2 linked regions of the Canis lupus familiaris genome follow. The protein of the gene in region 2 interacts with the protein of the main gene of each other region in a pairwise test. Links are inferred from orthologs where the notes say so. Each region holds a gene or a part of one and is shown on either strand. Other genes may lie near its edges.

Region 1 (3,939 bases), about 80 Mb from region 2:
AAGAAGCTCAGACTATTCTGCTGGAGAGAGATGCCACATGGAAGGACACCAAAGTGCCAGATATGTGAGTGAAGAAGCCACCTTGGACGTCCATCCCAGTTAAGCCTTCAGATACCCCTGGGCCCCCCAGCCACCATCTGACTACAACCACCTAAGGCCCCAGGAAGAGCCACCTAGCTAAAGCCCAGTCAACCACAGGACCATGGAAGATAATACTAAATTGTCATCTTAACCCATCGAGTCTTATGGTGTTCGTTACCCAGCAACAGATAACCAGAACACCCGGAAAAGGCTGCAGTGGTCTTTTAAGACCCGACACCCTGTTCCCACATCCCCCTCCCCACACACAACAAAACCAACACCAGCCAGCCAGACTTTCAGTCCCTTTAATTAGGTGCTCTAAAGAAACGGCAGAACGACAGGCAGGCAGTGGAGAAGGTGATGCTTCTTGAGCCCCGCTTGGTAACAGATCAGTCCTCATCCTCTGGCAGCTGGATCTTGCTGGGGTCAAAGCAGTTGGATTCCATGATGGGGAGGCCATTGGCCTCTCGGTATTTCACAAGCCTCTCAGCTTCCCGGCGGGCCCACTCCTGCATTCTGGAGGCAGTGGAATGGGGGAAGATGTGAGGGAGCTTCACTGGACACCAATCCCCATCTTAGCTCCCCCTTCCCCACTGGCACAAAGAATGGGATTCCTGGCACAGTCCCCTTCAACCTCCGCCCCCACCCCCACCCATTCCACTCTCTTGGACATTCCCATGCACCTGTAATCAGGCAGATAAGCTACAAAGGTGCTGCCAAAGACCAAGACAATGGAGAAGCCAAAGAAAAAGACGACCCGCATGTTCCAGAGGTCCACAACAGGATCCTTGTCGTAACCATGGGAGTCTGGGTTCTATGGCAAGAAGAAGAGGACAATGAGGGCTTCCTGTGGCTCCACAAAAAGCCTTATGCTGGCCCTACATCAGTTGGTCTCCGATTTCACCTCAGACCAATCTCCTCTCTCTCATTTAATTCCTCCTTCTAGTCTTAGGAGTTGTAAACTCCTTTCTACCACAGGGCCTTTGCTATTCCCTCTGCCTGGAAAGCCTTTCCTCCAGATCTCGTCATAGCTAGATCTGTCTCCTCATTCAAAGTGTTGGCTTCATAATCACTTCCCTTAGAGAGCATTCCCTAGTCACTTTATCCAAACTACAGGAAATTGCCACTTTTATAGGTTAAAAATGGTTGAATATAGCCAATTTCCTATAGTTTCATCTAATAAAATTACCCTCTACCCCTAAGTCACTCTCCATCTATTTATCTTACTGAACTTCCTTTCTAGCAGTTACTAGTTTACCAAGGTAGCATCTCCCTAGATCCTAACACATTGTCTTATATATTACATACTCAATGTTACTGTTTCCAAATATTTTACATGTTTATCTTCTGTGTTCTCCATTATCATATGAGCTCTACAAAAGCATGAGCTTTATTTGATTTCCACATTGCTGAACCTCTAGAGCCCTGAACTGCCCCTGGCATACAACAGGCCCTGGCTCCTTATTCACAAAAATGAATGAATAAGTGAATAAACATTCTATATACCCAAGCCAGAGGACAGTACTGATGAATAACCTACTGTGTGCCACACACAAACATCACAATATCCCAGTAAGGCAGAAAGTAGCAACAATAATTAACACCTTCTAATGCTGGATACTAAATACCAACTGCTGTTCTGAGCATTTTGATCCATTTGATTACATCAGGCAGATGTAGTATTTTATTTTCTAGAAGGTGTCCTAATACTTTCCCCATTTTACAAAGAGGCACCAAGGAGATAAGCTACTTGCCCAAGGTCACCAAGATGAGTAACTGTCAATGCCTGTATTCCAACTCCGGCATTCTGATTTGAGTCTCTGCTATCACCACAGCCCAGCAGACCTGGTTGGATCACACGTTCAGTTGTGCGAGTCTGGGCAAGTCACTTAACATCTTTATTTTTCAGTTTCCTCAGCTGTAGAATGGGTATGCTAATAGTACCTACTTCTAAACAGGGTTGTTTTGAGGATTAGATAACGTAAGTCAAGCGTTTAGAGCACGGGCACTGAGCAAGCACCATGTGAGTATCATTGTCATACTGTACTGTTTCTAATGTGTTTTGAGCATTGCTCACTTCAGGTTTGATATATGTCTGCAAAATAAAGGCAGTCTCGCCTCTGGCCCTGACCTGAGATTACCAGAGGACAAAGAAGGAAATCAAGCTAGGGAAAGTTCCCAAGTCTTCGAGGATTTCACCAGCAGCGCAATCCACAGCCGCCTAAGAACGTCCTCTACAGCGCCCCGTCCACCGGCCCCCGATTGACCCTTCTGGCGACCCGTTTCCCCTCCCTCTCACCTTCTCATAGAGGTTTTCGTCCTCCGGATCTGGGTCCTCCTGCCAGCGTACAGTCGGTTCCGGCGTCCGCTTTCCTGCCACAGCCGACGGGGCGATCACGGCCCTGGACGAGCTGGATTCCCAGCGAACATGGGCGACCGGGAGCCCTCGCGTCGCCGCTACTGCCAAAAGGCGGCGAGCGCCCAGACCTAACAGCCCCGCCGCCATGACAATGGTTCTGCAGGCTCTCAGGGGCGGGGACGGAAATGCGATTGTGCGCAGCTGCAGTTGACCCGAGCGCGACAATTGTCGCTCCGCCCCGCCGCACTAAATAGGTCCCGAGATTGGATTTGCTTCTCAAATGAGATGAGGCGCTGAGTAGCCCTCTGTCATGACCTCATGGGGGCGACCATTTTCTTAACCTCCCCCTCCCCCCGTCAGGCTAAGGAGTTTCTGGCGGATAACTCTGCCCCTTTCCTTGATAAGAAAGCGTTGACATTTGGGTGGGTGCAAGTCCCAGCCAATGGCACGGAGATTTCCCTCGCCCTCTGGGGGAAGGGGCGGAGTTTCCGTTTGTCTTTCATCTTCGAAGGAAGCCAAGCTTCTAAAAAGCGGGCCTCGCGGGATTAGCCAATAGCTACTCCTTTTCCAGACTTGCGAGCGTTCGCAAGGAGAGTGGGGAGGTGGCATACGCTTGCCAATCAGAGCTGGCCAGGGCTGGCCGTCGGCGGCCAGCGACCAATAGACGAGGCCGGCCAGAGCGCGCTCCCTTAGTAGGTGGATGGTGGTCGAAGCGCCGGCTCTCTGCTCGTCGTCGCCATTTTGTGCTGGTGATTGCAGCCGGCTGGGAGTAGGCGGCAGTGGGTTTCCTGGGGAGGGTAGCGCGCTTGGCGCTTCTCCCCTCCCCGCTCCTCCACCCTTCTGCCTCCAGCCTCGGACTTGGCGGTGGTGCGGGCCGGCTCCGGCTGAGCTGGGAGAGTTGGAGGAGGTGGCGGCGCGCCGAGGTGATGTCCGGGAGCCCTCCCTTGACAGCCCGGGCCGAGAAGGTGAGCGTCGTCGCTGGTCGTGGGGGCGGAGGTAAGGGGCCGGGGGCGGGCGGGGGCGGAGAGGAGGCTCGAGGGCGGACTGCGGGATGTGGGCCTGGGCTACGCACGGAACCAGGAGATGGGTGCATGGCCTGAGCCCGGGAGGGGGGTGTCTTCCCCCCCCCCTCGGTTTAGAGAGCGGAGGCGCGTGCGCGATTGGAGCACAGGATGGGTGCACGCGGGTTGGGGGAAGGGAGGGACCGATGAGAGTGGGCTAATGTGGCTTACTGTGTCTGCGACACGGAACTTTATCCGTGGAGAGGTCGAGGTCTTTATCCATAGGGGAGAGGGTGTGCTGTCTTCTCTGTGTGACTTGGGCACTTACCTGTCCATGGGAAAGTATTCCGTGGCTCTGGTTCTTATTCTTGGGTGGAGGAGGAGGAGGAGGGAAAACGTCTGTATGACTCTGGTCTTTATTCTTGCAGTCTCTGCTGTAACTCAGGTCCTTATCCATGGGGAAGGGTCCTTATCCATAGGGAGTCTTCTTGGAACTGG
Region 2 (4,142 bases):
CTATTTTCCATAGTGGCTGCACCAATTTGCATTCCCACCAACCGTGCGTGAGGGTTCCTTTTTTTTTCCATGTCCTCACCAACACTTGTTTCTTGTATTGTTGATTTTAGCCATTCTCACAGGGGTGAGGTGATACCTCATGGTGGTTTTGATTTGCATTTCCCTGATGATGAGTGATGCTGAGCATCTTTTCACATGTCTGTTGGCCATCTGTATGTCTTCTTTGGAAATAAGTCTATTCAGGTCCTCTGCCCCTTCTTAAATTGGATTTTTTTGTTTTTCTAGTGCTGACAGTTGTATCAGTTCTTTATATATTTTGCATTTTAACCCCTTCTCAGATACATCATTTGCCCATATCTTTTCCCATTCACTAGGTTGCCTTTCTGTTTTGTTGACAGGTTCCTTTACTGTGCCAAAGCTTTGTATTCTGATTTAGTCCCAGGAGTTTTTGTTTGCTTTTGTTTCCCGATGTTGCATTCTTGAGCAAAATTTCTTCTTCGCTGGAAAACCTCAGTCTTTGCTCTTCAGGCCTTTCAACTCATTAAATGAGGCCTATCCACATTATCAAGGATTAGTAATGTCTTTTACTTAAAGTCCACAGAGTGCAAATGTCAACCAAAGCTCCAAAATAACTTCATAGCAACACCTAGACTAGTGTTTGATGGAATAACTGGGAACTATAGGCTACCCAACGAACAGATAAACTTGACCCTCACAGTGGTCTAATCATTAGGGAAGCTGAGAGAGAATTTGGACTTAGACCAGGGACTGCAGGGCCTGCCTGGGGACAGTGGGCCCTCCAGTGGCTACAGGTAGATCCCTTCTTTCCTGCCCTTCCCTCCTTAGATTCTCATGGTTCCTGCTCAGACTGACCCAAGGCATTAAAAGGCCATCTCCCCTGGGAACTCTACATTGGGGGGAAACAAGATGTGCTCTGTAGAGGATGCCTCCTGAGGGGAGCTGTGGCCTGAAATACTTGCCAGAGCTGGGCTTGCAGAAGCCACAACAAGTTTGGGATCTAACCCTGTTCTGGCTACTGACTGGCTTTGGGGTCCTGTGCCAGTATCTACCTCTCTTTAGAAATGATGGAGAGTAGATCCCACTGGCCCCTCAATGGGGCCAAATCATGTGACCCGAGAGCCAGGGTAGTTCTCACAGGCAAAGTTTCTGAGATAAGTATCAGAAACTCCTCCTCCTAAGTTGCTTACAGAGTAGCAGGGGAGAAGACTGTGAACCAAGCCAATAAGATACAACAGGAACACAAGGTGCTGGGTCCAAGGCCTGAGTCCTGTGGGAGAGTGTGGCTCCACCCCCATGGCCAGATATATCTTCCTCGAGCTCCTGCCCCTGGAAGAGCAGACTTTCCAAGAGTCTGCTCTGTGCCCGGCTTCCTGTGTATCCTGGCTATAGCTTAATAGCTAAGCGCTAGCTGTGATGGCAGGAGGCCCCCCTACTATCAAGGAGGAGATGGAAACATCCATCGCTGAAGAGCTGGTTCCTGGAAACTATGGGAAAAGCCAGGAGCACCTGGTGATAGCAGGTGAGGAGCCCCTGTAATGTCCCTTTCCTTTGGGTGTCTGCACCCAGTCACATGTGTTGGAGAAGGTGTGTTCATGGCTGGGAAGAGTCATATATATGCAAGTATGTGTGGCTATGTGTGTGTCTGTGCCTTGGTGTGCGTATACCTGTATTTGTGCCTTGATGAACAGGAAGCTGGGGGGGAAAGGTATTGATGATGTGAGCATTTTGAAGCCTGTGAGAGAGTAGGATGGGATCCACATGTGTGGTCCTTATCTCCCCCTGTCCAAGCTACCACTGTGTTTATGGCAAAGTATCCAGAGCGCTCAATTTATAAGATCATTCAGACCAATTCTCTCTCCTTTTTAATGCCTTTTCCTCCTTTAGAGTAAAATCCAAACTCCTTTCCTTGATCTACAAGAGCCAGCCAATGCCACCTCCTCAATATATTTCATGCTGTGGTATGATGACCCACAGCACACTGCATTTATACTTGTCCTCATAAGACCCGAAGGCTGATTCTTCCTGATAGCCTTTGTGTTGACTGCTACCTCTGCCTGGGATGCTGTTTTCCTAGATTTTCCATGGCTGCCATCATTTTTGTCTTTCAGGTCTCTGCCTCACAGGTGTTTCTGGCTTTTCTAGAAGTAGCCCTTCCTTCCACCATGTTGCCCTGTTCTTATCATTTTGGGAGCATGTATCTCTTGATCTGAGTTAACACTGATAGATTATACCCATTTTGCACCCCTCACTTCAGCTAAGCACACATAGACAGTTGATTACTAGATTGCTGAGATCTTGTGTCTTGGTCATTGCTCTCCCTCCAGTAACCTAGCCCAGAGTTTGGCCCTCAAGAAATACTTACTAAACTTTTAAACAAATGAACAGACTGAGGCTTGGGATCTGCCAGGGGACAACAGTGAATGAATATTGAATGACTCCTAAGAAGTTTGGGTACCTTATCCTCTTTCTGGTGTGTCCTGTGTCCAGGAAGCCTTGGTATAGCCTCTATGGGTGTTTCTGGGGCCTCTCTTCTTTTGCCTAGAAATGATGGAGCATGGATCCCAGTCTGTGGGTGCTTCTCAGCGGCGACAGAAGGCGGATCCAAAGGCTGCTGGCTCTGCTGCAGGTCAATCGGGTTGGAATATGACTGGCAACCGGAGCAAGAAAGCGGTACTGTATGGAGTCCTTGGCATGCAGTGGCTAGGCTGGGGTTGGGACAACAGACTAAAGGGGCTCCAGCTTCATGACGGTAGGTTGAGCAGAGCCAGATGTTGACTTGGGGCCAAAGGAAAAAGCTTTTGTGTACCAGTGAGGCAATGAAGGCAGGGATGTCCTTTGAGAGGTCAGGGCCATCCTTTGGTAGGCTGGGAGCTCAACCTTGGGTTTCCAGAACACCGGATTCACATATTCCTTGGGGACTACATATACACTTTATTTTGCAAAACTCTATTGTGTGTGAAATGACACTTTCCTTTATAAATAAATAATTCTATATGTATATTTCCTTCCATATCTATATTATCTATATTATCTATATAAATTATAACTATATAAATTATTTAATTATCAACTAAATAATCAGCCTGGAATCATGAGAATCATTGATGAATAAAAGGAAGGAAGGATAGGAAAGAAAGAATCTGTCTGTAGCCATTGGAGGCCCCACTGTCCCCATACAGGTCCTACAGTCTCTGGTCTAAGTCCAAATTCTCCCTCAGCTTCCCTAATGATTAGATCACTATGAGGGTCAAGTTTACCTGTTTGTTGGGTAGCCTGTAGTTCCCAGTTATTCCATCAAACACTAGTCTAGGTGTTGCCATGAAGGCATTTTGGAATTTATTTTATTTTATTTTTATTTTTATTTTTTTAAAGATTTATTTATTTATTTATGATAGAGAGAGAAAGAGAGAGGCAGAGACACAGGAGGAGGGAGAAGCAGCTCCATGCACCGGGAGCCCGACGCCGGACTTGATCCCGGAACTCCAGGATCGCGCCCTGGGCCAAAGGCAGGCACTAAACCGCTGAGCCACCCAGGGATCCCCATCATTTTGGAATTTTAGTTAGCATCTACACTCTGTGGACTTTAAGTAAAAGACATTAGTAATCCTTGATACTGTAGATGGACCTCATCTACGCTATTAAATAGAAATATACATACATAAAACAATATGATTCTCAAGTCTGGAAAAAGATTAAGACAAGTTAGGTTCCTATGTTCCCTGGCTGTTAGGAAATCCAATCAATTGAATCTGACCATTATGTAGCCAATCCTTTAAAGTACCTTTAATGTGGGTTAAGAAAAGCTCTGGAAAACTGGCAGGTACACTGTTACAAAGGATACTGGGAAAAGGTGGTCATTTTGGAGAGGAGGGAGACCTGAGTGTTCTAGGGAATCCCGTGAGATCTCTCACTGTGTAGCCAATCCTTTAGGTTACATTCACTGCTAAGTGAGAAGAAGCTTTGGAAACATGGTTGCTATACTGTTGCAAAAGTTGCTGGAAAAAGAGAACCCAGTTGGAGAGGAGAGGGACCTGACTGTTGAAGGGAGTCATCTGAGTTTCAAGTTCTGTATCCAATCTGTTCCACACTTTCACTGTGAGGGAGGGAAAGCTTTAGAAAAA

What was found. The genes of interacting proteins can lie anywhere in the genome.
Region 1: the proteins of FATE1 (region 2) and NDUFB11 interact in binary tests that used the Homo sapiens proteins (3 or more experiments, as listed by UniProt). The two-hybrid records come from large-scale screens. The link is inferred for Canis lupus familiaris from reciprocal best matches to the Homo sapiens genes FATE1 and NDUFB11.

Annotation. Positions count from the first base shown.
Region 1 is NC_049260.1:40,947,000-40,950,938, forward strand, and holds NDUFB11 (NADH dehydrogenase [ubiquinone] 1 beta subcomplex subunit 11, mitochondrial), read right to left. Parts: upstream 2,807-3,939; 5' UTR 2,588-2,806; coding exon 2,381-2,587; intron 896-2,380; coding exon 765-895; intron 598-764; coding exon 471-597; 3' UTR 371-470; downstream 1-370. Other genes in the region: RBM10 (RNA-binding protein 10), read left to right, coding at 3,141-3,405. UniProt on the Homo sapiens protein: Accessory subunit of the mitochondrial membrane respiratory chain NADH dehydrogenase (Complex I), that is believed not to be involved in catalysis. Complex I functions in the transfer of electrons from NADH to the respiratory chain.
Region 2 is NC_049260.1:120,980,265-120,984,406, forward strand, and holds the start of FATE1 (fetal and adult testis-expressed transcript protein), read left to right. Parts: upstream 1-1,339; 5' UTR 1,340-1,434; coding exon 1,435-1,540; intron 1,541-2,563; coding exon 2,564-2,691; intron 2,692-4,142. UniProt on the Homo sapiens protein: Involved in the regulation of endoplasmic reticulum (ER)-mitochondria coupling. Negatively regulates the ER-mitochondria distance and Ca(2+) transfer from ER to mitochondria possibly implicating it in the regulation of apoptosis.